Macaca mulatta: one gene and its partners. Each later gene encodes a partner of the first gene's protein in a complex. Links are inferred from orthologs where the notes say so. Each region holds a gene or a part of one and is shown on either strand. Other genes may lie near its edges. The genes, in order: ZNF541, CIR1, DNTTIP1 and HDAC2.

Region 1 (3,564 bases):
CTGTGGGGAGTAAACGAGACTGGTGTCACTTATCTCAGGATGGGGACGTCATTCTGGGTTGGGGGCTGGAGTTGGGCTGTATGGCTCTCCAGGGGCAGGCCGTCGCTATGGGCTGCAGCAGCTCTGCAGCTCAGTCCGTGCCACAGACTCACTGCTGTTTTCTATGACAGCTTTTTTTGCTGAAGCAGCTCTTTCTTTCCCCACCTACCTTATCTCTTAAAGAGCCATCTCTTCTCTTCTGTGTTTAGGTGTTTGGCACAGAGTTTTGCAAGCCGCTAAGACAGGTGCTGAGGCCAGAAGGGGACAGGCATAGTCCCCCAGGAGCCAAGAAGCCCTTGGACTCCACAGCTGCAGCCCCTTTGGTGGTCCCCCATTCGATCCCTGTGGTTCCAGTGACCCGACACGTAGGGAGCATGGCCATGGTGGGTGCTTGTCGGTCTGCCTCCTTCCTGCCACTGCCCCCAGATGCTGGGGGAAGCCGTAGGAAAAACCCAAACCAGATACCACAGAAAATCTTTGACTCCAGGCTGGGCGTGGTGGCTCATGCCTGTAATCCCAGCACTTTGGGAGGCTGAGGCGGGTGGATTGCCTGAGCTCAGGAATTCGAGACTAGCCTGGGCAACATGGTGAAACCCTGTCTCTACTAAAAATACAAAAAAATTAGCTGGGCTGGCCCTGGACAAGTGGCAGGCTCCTGTAAACCCAGCTACTCGGGAGGCTGAGGCCTGAGAATCACTTGAACCCGGGAAGCAGAGGTTGCAGTGAGCTGAGATCACGCCACTGCACTCTAACCTGGGTAACAGAGTGAGACTCTATCTCAAAAAAAAAAAAAATCATGATCCGGAAGAAACTGGTTTGCATGTTAGTTCAGTCATTCAGCATTGACTGAGCCCCTCTGTGCCGGACCCTGTGCTGGGTGGTGCTGGGGACACAGAGGTGACCACAGTAGCCTGGGCCCTGCCTCCCGGGGCTCCCAGTCCAGTGGAGGAGACAGGCCTGTCCCCAGACAGTGACAACCCAGAGTGGGCAGAGCTGGGAGCAGAGGGAGCCCAGGGAGTACCCAGGGGGCTCCTCCCAAGCCTGAGGAGGTAAGGGAGGGCTTCCTGGAGGAGGTATGGGAGCTGAGACCTGGAGGATGAGGAGGAGCAGGGCTGGCAGAGCGGAGAGGAGATTTTGTGGAGGCGAGAGAGAGCGTGGTGAGTTACGAGTGATCAGTCTCGTAGGGCTTGTCTCTGCAGCCTGTACTGGAGGACCCCCTACTGGAGAAGCTCCTGCTGGACTCCAGGACAGAGTCCATGGACCTGAAGGTCCCCTGAGTCAGTGGCTGGGTCTTTTGGGTGCTTGTCATTTGGGTGGAGCTACATTTCTTTCTTGTCACTGTCACACTGTATCTCTGGGGATCTCTCTCTTTTTAAGGGCCAGTTGTCTTAATGATTGAGGCCATTCTCACACAGAGTCAGGGGCTCTCCTGGGGCAGTGGGTGCAGGAGAAGGCTGCAGCCGTATCATCACCAGGCTCTGTACCTTAGGTGTGGCCCAGGTGTGGCCAGCCTCCTTCGCTGGGCGTACATGTCCTAGTTTCCTGTCTCTGGCCAGTCTCTTTTTCCTGCTTTCTTTCCATCCTGGAGATGGAGTGGTGCAGTAGGTGGCTTCAGGTGACCACCTGTGGTTCTAAACTTCTTCAGGAACAAGAGAAAGATGGGGAGGAGCGAGACAGCAAGGAGAGCAGCCAGCAGAGAAAGCGGAAGAAGCGGCCCCCACCCAAGAGGCTGTTCATCCCTCCTCCACCCTCCACGGCTGGGGAGCCCGGCCCTGCAGGATGCCACCAGAGTCGCCTGCGGTCGCCCATGTTCCTGGTGGACCGCCTCCTGAAGGGCTTATTCCAGTGCTCCCCCTACACACCGCCCCCAATGCTCAGTCCCATCCGGGAGGGCTCTGGAGTGTACTTCAACACCCTCTGTTCCACATCCACTCAGGCCAGCCCTGACCAGCTCATCAGCTCCATGCTCGGTGAGTGAGTGAGGCTGGGGCACTCACTCTGTGATCCCAGGGTGGATCGCCTGCGGATCATGGCCACTCTCCCTTGTAGCATTGGGTTCAGTGATTGTCTCCTGCCTGGGTATACCTAGTCTGAGGGTTCCTTTGCTATTCAGATGTGCCCTAGAACTAAGCTAAGTGCCTTCTAGTGCATAGAATTTTACAGCCCGAAAGAAAACATAGAGGCCATTTATCTTACCATGCTTCCTCCTGCGCTTCTGTGTCATTATCATTTTCTTTTTTGAGGCAGGGTCTTGCTCTGTCACCCAGGCTGGAGTGCAGTGGCTCGATCACAGCTCACTGCAGCCTCGATCTCCTGGTCTCAAGCGATCCTCCAGCCTTAGACTCCCAAATAGTTGGGACTACAGATGCACATCACCACACCTGGCCAATGTTTTAGCTTTCGAAGAGATGGGGTCTTGCTATGCTGTCCAGGCTGGTCTCGAGTTCCCAGACTCATGTGATTTTGTTGCCTTGACCTCCCAAAGTACTGGCATTAAATGTGTGAGCCACCCTGTCTAGCCTGTGTCATTTCCTTTTTTTTTTTTTTGAGACAGAGTATCACTCTGTCACCCAGGCTAGAGTGCAGTGGTGCAATCTTGGCTCACTGCAACCTCCAACTCCCAGGTTCAAGCAATTCCTGCCTCAGCCTCCCAAGTAGCTGGGACTACAGGCATGTGCCATCATGCCTGGGTAATTTTTGTATTTTTAGTAGAGATGGGGTTTCACTATGTTACCAGGCTGGTCTCGAACTCCTGACCTCCAGTAATCTACCCTCCTCAGCCTCCCAAAGTGCTGGGATTACAGGTGTGAGCCACTGCGCCTGGCCTGGCCTGGCCTATGTAATTTTCCTAACAGCTTTATTGAGCTATACTACACATGCCATGCAAATCACCCATTTAGAGTATGCAGTGTTTTTTAGGATATTCACAAGGCCGTGCACCCATCACACAGTCTAATTTTAGAGCACGCTTCGCATCCTCAGAAGAAGCCAGAGCTCATTAGCAGTGACTCTGCCCATATCCCCACAGTCCCTTCTTCCCCCAGCCTAGGCACCCACTCATCTGCCTTCTCTCTTTGGATTTGCCTATTTGGGACATTTCATGTAAGTAGAATCATACAATATGCAGCCTTTTGTGTCTAGTTTATTTCACTTGGCGTGTTTTCAGAGTCCCTTCATATTGTAGTGCATATCAGTGCTCAATTCCTTTTTATGGCTGAACATTTTTCCCTTGTACAGATGGGCCCCATTTTATTTATTCATCAGTTGATGGACATTTGGGTTGTTTCCACTTCGGGCTATTATGAATAATGCTGCCATAAACATTCGTGTAGAAATTTTTTGGGTTTTTTTTGGGAGACAGGGCCTCACTCTATCACCCAGGCTGGAGTGCAGTGGTGTGATCACAGCTCACTGCAGCTTCAACCTCCTGGGCTCAACTGATCCTTCTGCTTCGGCCTCCAGAGTAGCTGGGCCTACAGGCGTGTGTCTCCGTGCCCGGCTAATTTTTTGTAATTGTTTTTATGT
Region 2 (4,248 bases), on another chromosome or scaffold:
CCTGTTCTCCTAGTGAGAAGTCTGATGTCTTGATGGCTTCTGTTATTTTCTTTCTGTGTTTCAATCCTTATGTCCTGGATCTCCTTCTATTTGTGTTTTATAGTTAGTTCCATCACTATATAATTTTGGCAGACTATTTAATCTCTCTCTTCCCTATGCCTTCTGCCTCACCAGTAAAATAAAAAAGACACTGTTTGATGGGCTGTTAGAACTTAATAAGGCAACATGTAAAGTGTTTTGCACAGTGCATAGAACATACTAGATATTCACGTGAAAGCTGTTGTTGTTATTTGGTAAGAGAGAAAATTTCTCATAAAGTCTTATTCTTTTTTTTTTTTTTTCCCTGACAGTTTAACTCTTGTTGCCCAGGCTGAGTGCAATGGTGCAATCTCGGCTCACTGCAACCTCCGCCTCCCGGGTTCAAGTGATTCTCCTGCTTCAGCCTCCCGAGTAGCTCAGATTACAGGGGCGCGTGCCACCACACCCGGCTAATTTAGAGTAGAGACGGGTTTTCACCACGTTGGCCAGGCTGGTCTACGAACTCCTGACGTCAGGTGATCCACCCACCTCGGCCTCCCAAAGTGCTGGGATTACAGGCGTGAGCTACCGCGCCCGGCGTAAATTTATTCTTAACATTACCCTGATAGAGAGCTTGGTTGGTGGGTCACCTGCTGCAGAAGCAGCCACGTCCACTCAAAAACCTGGAGTCCCAAGGTCCATCAAGCTGCAATAGGTAATCTGAGCTGCCTAACTGGGGTGGTAGGGAAAGCTAAGGAAACTTGCCGCCTGGTTAGAATGGCACCTAGCCCACTGAGGAGGTGAAGCCTTGAGAGATTTTACTAACTCCTAACGTGTATTCGTCATTCAGTAAGTCTTTATTGAACGTCTTTCGGCGCCAGCACCGTACAGCTGGGGCAAGGGCCTCCGTTCTTGCAAAGCTGTCTCATTCTATTTCACGCGCTCTTAGTTCAGCGGGCGCTTTCAGAAACATATCGTTGGATTCTCGCAAACATACTACAGTTAGGGCAGGAATTATTATCTCCATAACAGAGATGAGAAAAACAGTGCAGAAAAGTTTTTGCAGCTCGAGTCAGAGTTCACAGAAAGTAATGGGCTCGAGCTTCAAGCACCTTTGGTCGAAGGGCCGCCGCGGTCCACCCCGCACCCCGGCCCTGGGCGCTCAAATCGCAGCCAGCGCAGCTGGGCTCTGGAGCCCCTCGGTTAAGCAGTACCGCCCCACAGTTGGGTCTTCCCGGTTTCTGTCTCAACTATGCACGCCCCTCCCCCGTGCACGCCCCTCACCTGGCCTCCAAACTACCCGAAGTGACAGGTGGACGGAGGGAGGATTGGCCAGTGTAGGCATCAATTGCCGGAAGCTGTTACCTTTGACCTCGGAAGTTCCCCCTGCCGCTGGAAAAGCAGTTCCGGTTAGGAGACTGAGTTTGTTTACGTTACTTACAGATCTAGGTGCCGCTTTCCCTAGCTCCAGGTCCAAGATGGGGAAATCCTTCGCCAACTTCATGTGTAAGAAAGACTTTCATCCTGCCTCCAAATCCAACATCAAAAAAGTGAGTAAAGAGACCCGGGGAGGGATCAGGCCCACGGAGACTGCCTTCCCTGAGGTGCTGGAAGTGAAAGTGGTGATGTCTCTGAGGTCCGTAGGACAGCCCCGCTTCTCTAGGCCTAAAGCCCCGTAGTCTCGCCTTTCTCTGCTGAGCAGCTCGCTGACGCAGGGGATCCTCAGCGTTTATTCTGCAACAGCGAGGAGACCGGCGGCCTAGAGAATCTTTGTCGCCCGGAATGTAAATCCATAATATGTGAAGACTAATGTCAAAATTCCTCAGTACTTCCCTCAGCTGATTCTGGTTTTTTGTCTTTTCGGATCCCAGGGATCACGGCTTCTGAACTCTACTTTTCTGTACAAAGAAGTCTCCACGTTTATTTAAGATAGATCTTTAAAAAATTTACCCAATAATCTAGTGTCTTTTTAATGACCTCGTTGAAGTTTAGTGTTTTACGTAATTACAGGTCTACCAGGTGTAATACCTTGGTGAATATCATAGTAATGAAAAGCAGAAGAGTGAATTAGAAAGAATCGGCTTTCGAGTCAAATCTGGATTCTAGTTATTCGAGCAGTCACTTTTAGCCTTAAGACCTTGCACAAAATATTTGTAATATCTGACCCTCAGTCTCCTAATCTGTAAATTAAGGGTGATTGGCTTAATTGTGAGGATTAAGTGAAATAGTGGAGATAAAGGATTTGAAACAACGTAGGCATCTATCACTGTTCGCTACAGAGAGGAGGTGCTCAATAAAATGTTGATTGCCCCATGTAGAAAGTTGTGAAAATAACTAAGCTTTTATTTGTTTTTAGAACCAGTTGAGGTGATGAGATATTGCTATATACTCTCACTTCTAGACCAGTGATTCTCAACTTTTTTTCACTGTTACCTTCCTAAGGAGCCTTATTAAACATTTTTTCTTAGTAACTCCCCCATGAAATTTTAATAACGCAGATACACCTTGAAAGCTCTTTGGTAATCATCCAGCCCCATCTCCTTATTTTATAAATGAGGAAACAAATTTGCCAAGAGTTACACAGCTAGTTAAATGTTGTACCAGAACTAGAATCTGGAACACCCGATTAACCTAGTGATTTTTTCCGCCGCACCAGTTTGTGTTTGCGTGGTTGCAACTGTGGGAGGGAGAGGTTTCTTGTATTTGGTTGGCTCAATAACTGTTGACAGCAAACACAGACGTTTCCTTTCTCTGCATACTCAGGGGGTCAGCTATTACTAGTTTTACAAGAATGAAGAGATTAGATGGAATTCAGTTGCTTGCTTAGTTGCTGTTTATATTTAGAGACAAATATACCCGAGAAATCATAATTTTTTACTGGAACTTTTGACATTTAGCGTTATAAAAGTCATTGAATCAGCTTTCTTACAAGAAAAAAGAAATCCACGGAGAATAACTTTTGCAAATCCCCTATGAGAAATTCAGTAAAGCAGTTATAGGCTTAGAACCTACATTCTTCTCATCCGTGTAAAGTGTTAAGTAAAATGTACCAAATACTGTTGGCCTTTGTGATCTCTTTTATACTTTTCCCAGGATAGAGGAGAAGAATGAAATGTTTTTGATTAGCAGACCTTTCTAGATAGTTAATACTTTATGGGGAGAGGGGGTAACCTCTAACATTCTTAATTAACTAAGGATAGAGGAACTATATTAAATGAAGATAAATAGAAAAATGTATTCGGGTAGGAGGAAACTTTTGGAGATGATGGATATGTTTATAGTCTGGATTGTGGTGATGGTTTCTCAGGGATATACTTGTCACCAAACTCAGGTTGTATACATTAAATATGTACAACTTTTTATATGTCATACTCCAGTAAAGTTTGTTTGTTTGTTTTTAAGAAATAGAAGTGGAAGAAACAAAGGAGTTTGATCAAAGAGTGCAAAAGAGTTCCACCATGAAAATTTTAAGGGCCAGGTATGGTGGCTCATACCTATAATCCCAACACTTTGAGAGGCCAGGAATTCAAGACCAGCATGGGCAACAAAGTGAGACCCCCATCTATATTTAAAAAGAAAGAAAGAAAATTCTAATTGTAAAATTAAGCATGTTGGGTTTATTAAAGTCCAGTAGGTTCTTTTTTTCCTTGTTCGTTTTCAGTTTCCCAAGCTTACAAAGAGTCTGGTAGGTTTTAAGGTCTCATTTGTTCACCAGAAATAAGAGTGAATGCTATACATCTGCTGGTCACTCTGTTATGTATTGTTATGCGCTGCCTCAGTCATTTATGTCACAGGATACACTGTTTTAGTTCAGCTGTTCTTTTTTTTTTCTTGATATTGTTAATGAAGGAAGCAGTTAATTTACATTGTGGTCCAAGCTCCTTATTTGTCTTCTTGTGAACTGGCAAACACTTTACAAACCGGCTATTGACAATAGCACCACTGTAAACTCCTTTTTTTGTGAAAGTCTCTCTTCCCTTAGCTGTAGTAACTACTCTCTTCTAGTTTTCCCGCTCTATTAGTAGACTTCTTTTTCCATCAACTTCACTGGATCTTTATTTTTAGCCTGCTCCTAAAATATAAGTGTTCCCCAAAGTTTCATCCTTGGCCCACTTCTTGCTTACTTAGTATCCTTGCCCCAAGCAATCACATCCAACTAGCCCGTTTTAACTAGCCTGTTTACTCATGACTCAGATCTGCAGTCCCAGTTTTCTCTTCTTAACTTTGATG
Region 3 (4,002 bases), on another chromosome or scaffold:
CCCTCTAGCCCACACAGGCCATTCTTGGACTGTATGAAGGCTAGCTGGCAGAACTCAAGAGAACAGTTGCTATGTATGACTCAGATAGTCTGCCTACATATACCACCTTTATTTCTTTTTCCTCTATTTCTTTTTTTCTTTATCTGTCCTGTTTATGCCTTTGGTCAGCTGTGATACCCAATGGTGTCCACTGGCACTGCTTAGTCCTATGGGCAGGTACAAGGTTAAAACCTCCCTAATAGGATGAAAAAGTTTGGAGCCAGGAAGTTGCCCTTATTGTTATAAGATTGATGTTGGCTCATGGAGATAATTAACATTTGTTGATGGCCTAACATGTGCCTAATATGCTTTTTTTTTTTTTTTTGGGGGGGGGGACAGAGTCTCCCTCTGTCCTCCAGGCTGGAGTGCAGTGGCGCGATCTCGGCTCACTGCACAATCTCGGCATAATTAACATTTGATGACGACCTAACATGTGCCTAATACGCCTGTTTTTTTTGCTTTTTGTTTTTTGTTTTTTTGAAACAGTCTCCCTCTGTCGCCCAGGCTGGAGTGCAGTGGCGTGATCTCGGCCCACTGCAACCTCCGCCTCCTGGGTTCAAGAGATTCTCCTGCCTCAGCCTCCTGAGTAGCTGGGATTACAGGCGCCCAACATCAGGCCCGGCTAATTTTTGTATTTTTAGTAGAGACGGGATTTCTCCATGTTGGCCAGGCTGGTCTCGAACTCCTGATTGCAAGTGATCCTCCCGCCTCGGCCTCCCAAAGTGCTGGGATTACAGGCATGAGCCACCGCCCCTGGCAGAGCATATTAAAATCTAGTCTTCAAACACTGAACTGCAGGCGTCGCTGCACCAAACACTTCCCTCTGCTCCCCAACCCCAGCCTACAGAAACCAGCTCCCCTCCTCCTACCCCGCAGTCATCCACAGGCCTTGGCCCAGCGGGAAACGTCCCTTGACTGAACCGCCACTGAACACCCACACTCCACAATCGAGGGGCAGCCCTCCCGAGAGGAAGCCCCAACGACCTCCAACCACAAGGCCTCTAGGTGTAACTGTCCCGGGCGAGGCGCGGCGGTTCGGTTCCCATGGTAACCCCGCAGCTCCTGCGTCGCGCTTCCGGGCGGACGAGCAGCGCGCCTCAGTGACGTCACGGCGCCACTTTCCGGCCGGTGGCAGAGTCCGGCGAAGTTGTGGTGGCCCTGGGGCGCCATGGGAGCCACTGGCGACGCCGAGCAGCCGCGGGGACCCAGCGGGGCCGAGCGGGGCGGCTTGGAGCTGGGGGATGCAGGCGCAGCGGGGCAGCTGGTTCTCACGGTGAGGGCGCCCCCGGTGAGGTCTGGGCTCGGGCCGGGCAGGGCCTCGGGGCTCCCGGGACCCTGGCCCGCGGGCGAGAACGCGGCGGCTGCAGCTGCAGAGGGGGTTGGCGTTTTCGCAGCCCGACGACCTGGATTCAAATTCTGGTGCCGCCCTCCTAGCTAGGTGACGTGGGCCAGCTCTGTCGACCCCCTGAGTCCCCAGATCATCATCTATAAAATGGAGATGATTAGTACCTGTCTCATAAAAGTTGTTGTGGGATGGGAAGATAAAGGCGGGTACAGCGCCCAGGACATCACCTGACACAGAGTTGACCCTCGGTAAACACTGCTTCCCTTCCTCCTGCCGTGCCAGAAGGCAGGGTCGGGCCTTTTAAGGCAGGAAACTTCCTCAGTTCCTCTTTTGTGGAGGGGGCCTTCCAACTGTTGTCCTCCCCCGATACCCCAAGGCGGGAGAGATGGTGACGGATCTGAGAAGCAGGAATGTTTAGGTTTAACTTCATACCCACCCTCCACCTCCACCCCACGCCAGTGTCACAGGCCGCAGTGACATTTGTTCCGTTGGTCCCCACAGAACCCTTGGAACATAATGATAAAGCACCGGCAGGTGCAGCGGAGGGGCCGCCGCTCACAGATGACAACAAGGTAAGGCTGGCCCTGCATGGGACTTGTATCCCAGCCACTGGCTTGCATGGCAGCTTTGGGATCCCCAGTGCACAAGACTATGGAGATCTACAGCCTGTAGAAAGAGCACAGGACTGAGAAAGAGGAGACTCCGATCCTGTAACTCTGTGTGATCTTGAGCTAGTCAAGTCACTTCCTTCTCTGAACTCACGAAATGGGGAAGGGCACAGGAGATGGGTTGGGGAATAAAAAATACCTAAGACCCCTCACATTCACTGGCTCTGTGATTGAGGGCTCTTAAGAGGTCAGTTAGCATGGAGTTTAAGAGCACGGGCTCTGGAGTCAGACAACTGTGTTCTCATGCAGCCTCTGATGAGCCCCTGTTTTCTCAACTATAAAGACGGATTAATAGTATCCATCTCAGGGAAGGGAGAGAGCACAAGGTGGGCCTTTGGGATGCTGGTAGTGGTGAAATGGATGTTCACTGTAATTACTCATTAAAGTGTATAGACTTTTCTGTATAATAAGTATTATATTTCATAAAAACACTTTGGGCCGGGCGCAGTGGCTCACGCCTGTAATCCCAGCACTTTGGGAGTCTGAGGTGGGCGGATCACCTGAGGTCAGGACTTTGAGAACAGCCTGACCAACATGGAGAAACCCTGTCTCTACTAAAAATACAAAAAGATGGCCGGGTGCAGTGGCTCACGCCTGTAATCCCAGCACTTTGGGGATCTGAGGCGGGCAGATCACCTGAGGTTGGGAGTTTGAGACCAGCCTGACCAAAATGGAGAAACCCGGTCTCTACTAAAAATACAAAAATTAGCTGGGTGTGGTGGTGCACACCTGTAATCCCAGCTACTCGGGAAGCTGAGGCAGGAAAATTGCTTGAACGCAGGAGGCGGAGGTTGCAGTGAGCCAAAACCACACCACTGCATTCCAGCCTGGGCAACAGAGTGAGACTCCGTCCAAAAAAAAAAAACTTTGAAAATAATACCCACTTCATAGAGTTATGAGAATGAAATAAAGTCATGCCTTTGTGATTTGAACAAAATCTGAGCATGTAGCTAGTTTTCAGTAAAAGTTGTCTAGTATTGTTAAAGAATTCTATGTCCATAATTGACTGGGCAAGGTGAGAAAGAATATGTTTCGGACATGCCCCCTCACCCTGTCTCCCTCCTGAATGCAGTTTCACAGATCCTGCCATCTCTATGGATCTCCTCCGAGCTGTCCTGCAGCCTAGCATCAATGAGGAGATCCAGACTGTCTTCAACAAGTACATGAAGGTGAGAGGGACACAGGATAAAAAATAACGGGAAAGACTCACGAGGAGCCCAGTCCTTCCTTGCATCACCAGTCCGTCTCTTTCCTACACACAGATATCTAAAGTTTTCCTTTTTTTTTTTTGTTTTTTTGTTTGTTTTGTTTTGTGTTTTTGAGACAGAGTCTCACTCTGTCACCCAGGCTGGAGTGCAGTGGCATGATATCGATTCAGTGCAACCTCCACTTCCCAGGTTCCAGCGATTCTCATGCCTCAGCCTCCCTAGTAGCCAGGATTACAAGCGCCCACCACCACACACAGCGAATTTTTGTATTTTTAGTAGAGACGGGGTTTCACTGTTGACCAGGCTGGTCTCAAACTCCTGACCTCAAGTGATCTGCCCGCCCACCTTGGCCTCCCAAAGTGCTGAGATTATAGGTGTGAGCCAGCGCGCCCGGCCAGCTTTCAAATTTTTAATCCCCCAAGAATTTTATCCCTTCCTTGAGGGTAATTCAGATATCTTTTTTTTTTTTTTAATCTGCCCTTGTCACTCACTGTCACGTTTTTGTTTTTGTTTTTTTTGCTGACTTCTTGTAAGGATGAAATGACTTAAATGTACTGTGCTGAGCACTGCACTTAGGACATAACAAGTGTCCAGTAAGTACTTCTATTAGTTGTTTAATAATATCACCATTATTGGGGCCATGCACAATGGCTCACACCTGCAACCCCAGCACTTTGGGAGGCCGAGGCAGAATCACTTGAGGCCAGGAGTTTGAGACCAGCCTGGGCAACATAGTGGGACC
Region 4 (3,564 bases), on another chromosome or scaffold:
ACAGCGTAACAGGATTGATATAAAACCTGCATAATAATGACTTATATTAAGCTTATGATCCTGGCTGGGTGTGGTGGCTCACGCCTGTAATCCCAGCACTTTGGGAGGCCGAGGTGAGTGGATTACCTGAGGTCAGGAGTTCGAAACCAGACTGGCCAACATGGCGAAACCCTGTCTCTACTAAAAAAAGTACAAAAAAATTAGCTGGGTGTGGTGGCGTGCACCTGTAATCCTGCTACTCAGGAGGCTGAGATAGGAGAATTGCTTGAACCCCGGAGGTGGGGGTTGCAATGAGCCGAGCTCACGCTATTGCAGCCTGGGCAACAGAGTGAGACTCTGTATCCAAAAAAAAAAAAAAAAATTATGATCTATCTGAGCAGTAAGAAACTAAAATGTATTTCTTATAGTGCTTGTGACTTAAGGATGTACAAAGATATTAATATATAAAACAAGGACCCTTATTCTTGAAGAGGTTACAATTCAAGGGCATAGGGAAAGACTAAGAAAGGGTTATATATGTCTGCCATATCCCCTTCATTCTGTCAATACTGAGGAACTAAATGTGTGATGTTGTGTTATTTATCTGTATATGTTTTTTCCTTGTTGTCTTTAATATCCTTCTGTATTTTGGCTCCCATGAACCTAGTTAATTCTTACAAGCTTTCAAGATCAAGATTAGCCACGGAAATAGGCAACCAGCTGTTACATCTTTTTGGTTTAGTAACTTCCTGACATGCATTTCAAAGTTACAGATATTAATACGTATTTAAGGAGTTTTAAAGAAAGTAAATCATACAGCAATTGAAGTTACTTTTAGAATGTTAACTTACTGTAATATTAAGGGGAAAGGTCTAGAAAATTTAAGCCTGTGTTTTAATTAAATGAGAACTGTTGTGCATAGACAACTATTGAGTTCTTGTTAATAGACCAGAAATATTCCACAGATACTCCTGATAAGATTTGATGATGATCTTTCACAGATAACACTGTAATTACCTTGGATAAAACAATAAATATATTTTAAAGTTGTAAACTTTATATTACACTGTGAAGTGTATGTTTGATGATTGCATCAAGCAAAAAAAGTATTTGTAGGAAATAGTTTTTGTAAGAAAAGGCTTTCATTAATTTGCAGAGTGTGTTGAAATTAATGAAATCCATCTTCCACAGTTAATGTTGGAGAAGATTGTCCAGTGTTTGATGGACTCTTTGAGTTTTGTCAACTCTCAACTGGTGGTTCAGTTGGTAAGTGCTAATACAATCAGATTTAAAAGTTGTTCTAAATTTGGTGTGTATCTTCCAGGTTATTTGTGTAAAGCAGGAGTTTTAATGATTGTGAATTTTGATAACAAAAGGAAATCAGTATGTTTATAGTACAGTACAATTTGCTTTCAAACCTCTGTTTTGTTATTGTGACTTAAATACTTTTGTAACTTACATTTTTCACTTACAGACTTCTTTCATCCCACTTGTCTTCTAGCTATCATTGTTAGTACCACCATCTACATAAACCATTATTTAATCTCAGGGCGCAGCTCTGGGAGAATGTTTTTCTAAGGAGAAACTCCTATTTGTGTCATAGATGATTTTTGTTAAGTTTTATGATTTTAAGCTCTTTCTTATGCATGGCATACACTTGTAGGGTTTTCGTCTCGTTGTACTAATTTTTTATGTTAAATATTTAAAAAGTCTACCTTGTTTCTACTTCTTAGCTGGAGCCGTGAAGTTAAACCGACAACAGACTGATATGGCTGTTAATTGGGCTGGAGGATTACATCATGCTAAGAAATCAGAAGCATCAGGATTCTGTTATGTTAATGATATTGTGCTTGCCATCCTTGAATTACTAAAGTATGTTAATTTATATTGGTACTTTTTTCAGTGATAAAATGTTTTCATTAAAACACAATAAAAGTCTGTGGCTTAAAAAAAATCAGGTAAGCCATAGGTTGAAATAGTTAATGGTGAATTTTCTGGGAATTCATTACAAAACAATGAAGAAATGCAGGAAGTTTGCCCAAATCTTCAATTATTAAGAGTTAGTGTGTGGCCAGGCACTATGGCCGAGGCCTGTAATCCCTACACTTTGGGAGGCTGAGGTGGGTGGATCTCTTGAGCCCAGGAGTTTGAGACCAGGCTGGGCAACATGGCAAAACCCCATCTCTGCCAAGAAAAAAATTAGCCAGATGTGGTGGCATGCATCTGTAGTCCCAACTACCCAGGAGGTTGAGGTGGGAGTATCTGAGCCCAGGAAGTAGAGTCTGCAGGAAGCCATGTTCCTGTCACTACACTCTAGCCTGGGCAACAGTGTGAGATCCTACCTTAAAAAAAGAATTAGAAGTGTATAAAAGGCTGGGTGCCCGTGGCTCACGCCTGTAATCCCAACACTTTGGGAGGCCAAGGTGGGTGGATCATGAGGTCAGGAGTTCAAGACCAGCCTGACCAGCATGGTGAAACCCCATCCTACTAAAAACACAAAAATTAGCCGGGCATGGTGGCACGTGCCTGTAATCCCAGCTACTCAGGAGGCTGACGCAGGAGAGTTGCTTGAACCTGGGAGGCAGAGGTTGCAGTGAGCCAAGATCATATCAGTGTACTCCAGCGTGGGCTACAGAGCAAGACTCTGTCTCAAAAAAAAAAAAAAAAAAAAAAAAAAGAATTAGAAGTGTATGTAAATGTCAAAACTCCCATTAAATATCCTTTTTTAAAAGTAGTTTGGCAGTTTTCATTTTAGTTAGTTTCAACTAATAAAAAATGACAATGACCTTGGAAGTTTATGTTCTAGTATTTTGTAAATTGTAAATTGAAGACAAAAATTTGAAACCAGTATTTAAGGAAATTTGTTTACCTGTTGAGTTAGTCTAACTGCCTAACTTCCATATGTGAATGAGGCTTTGTTCTCTACTGATGGATATAAAATTATCTCTGAGTTGCTGCAGGAGTTATTTTTCCTTAGCTGTGGCTGCAGTTTGAGAGAGAGAGATCTGTAGAGGTACTTATGAATGTGGACATTTGCAATGTTATTTTTTGCCATCAGTTATGACACATCTTAGCAGATTCTACTTTATATTGTACTGAGCTGTTTTTTGCTTGTAGTTATTCCATGCATGCTATCCATAGAGGCTGATTTTTCAGTCACTGAAAATTGATACTGACTCCTCAAATAAACAGTAATTGAGCAGGATCAGTGTAACATCTTGTCAGCTCATCAGGAGCAAAGGAAAATCATTTGCAATCATTTGCCTTGTGTTTTAATTGACTGTTGATGTTGGTTCCAGTGTCTTCAACTCTTTGAGCAAGTTCTTGCCCACTCAGCTAATAGTTTTAAACAACTTTAATTTCTCTGGACACAATTTTTTTGGGTGGTGTAATCAAACATGATTTAATAAATTGACTTGGTGCACAGCTTTCCTTGCTTATCTAACACATGAGCCACTCAGAAACTTTACCTTGATCACAGCCTCATTTCTGTTTTTTAAATTTTGTGAAGAAATTTTGCTATACTATTATACGCTCTTTATATTCTTATGAGAATAGTCTCATGAGTGCTTAGTCTGGAAATAT

The links.
Region 2: ZNF541 (region 1) and CIR1 share a complex: the UniProt entries of both Homo sapiens proteins name them as parts of the histone deacetylase complex. The link is inferred for Macaca mulatta from reciprocal best matches to the Homo sapiens genes ZNF541 and CIRSR.
Region 3: ZNF541 (region 1) and DNTTIP1 share a complex: the UniProt entries of both Homo sapiens proteins name them as parts of the histone deacetylase complex. The link is inferred for Macaca mulatta from reciprocal best matches to the Homo sapiens genes ZNF541 and DNTTIP1.
Region 4: ZNF541 (region 1) and HDAC2 share a complex: the UniProt entries of both Homo sapiens proteins name them as parts of the histone deacetylase complex. The link is inferred for Macaca mulatta from reciprocal best matches to the Homo sapiens genes ZNF541 and HDAC2.

The regions. Positions count from the first base shown.
Region 1 is NC_133424.1:60,034,497-60,038,060, reverse strand, and holds part of ZNF541 (zinc finger protein 541), read left to right. Parts: intron 1-248; coding exon 249-422; intron 423-1,684; coding exon 1,685-2,009; intron 2,010-3,564. UniProt on the Homo sapiens protein: Transcription regulator which is essential for male fertility and for the completion of meiotic prophase in spermatocytes.
Region 2 is NC_133417.1:79,294,183-79,298,430, reverse strand, and holds the start of CIR1 (corepressor interacting with RBPJ 1), read left to right. Parts: upstream 1-1,438; 5' UTR 1,439-1,496; coding exon 1,497-1,568; intron 1,569-4,248. UniProt on the Homo sapiens protein: May modulate splice site selection during alternative splicing of pre-mRNAs. Regulates transcription and acts as corepressor for RBPJ. Recruits RBPJ to the Sin3-histone deacetylase complex (HDAC). Required for RBPJ-mediated repression of transcription.
Region 3 is NC_133415.1:98,576,368-98,580,369, forward strand, and holds the start of DNTTIP1 (deoxynucleotidyltransferase terminal-interacting protein 1), read left to right. Parts: upstream 1-1,138; 5' UTR 1,139-1,207; coding exon 1,208-1,312; intron 1,313-1,885; coding exon 1,886-1,956; intron 1,957-3,124; coding exon 3,125-3,221; intron 3,222-4,002. UniProt on the Homo sapiens protein: Increases DNTT terminal deoxynucleotidyltransferase activity (in vitro). Also acts as a transcriptional regulator, binding to the consensus sequence 5'-GNTGCATG-3' following an AT-tract.
Region 4 is NC_133409.1:19,023,475-19,027,038, reverse strand, and holds part of HDAC2 (histone deacetylase 2), read left to right. Parts: intron 1-1,170; coding exon 1,171-1,245; intron 1,246-1,712; coding exon 1,713-1,851; intron 1,852-3,564. UniProt on the Homo sapiens protein: Histone deacetylase that catalyzes the deacetylation of lysine residues on the N-terminal part of the core histones (H2A, H2B, H3 and H4).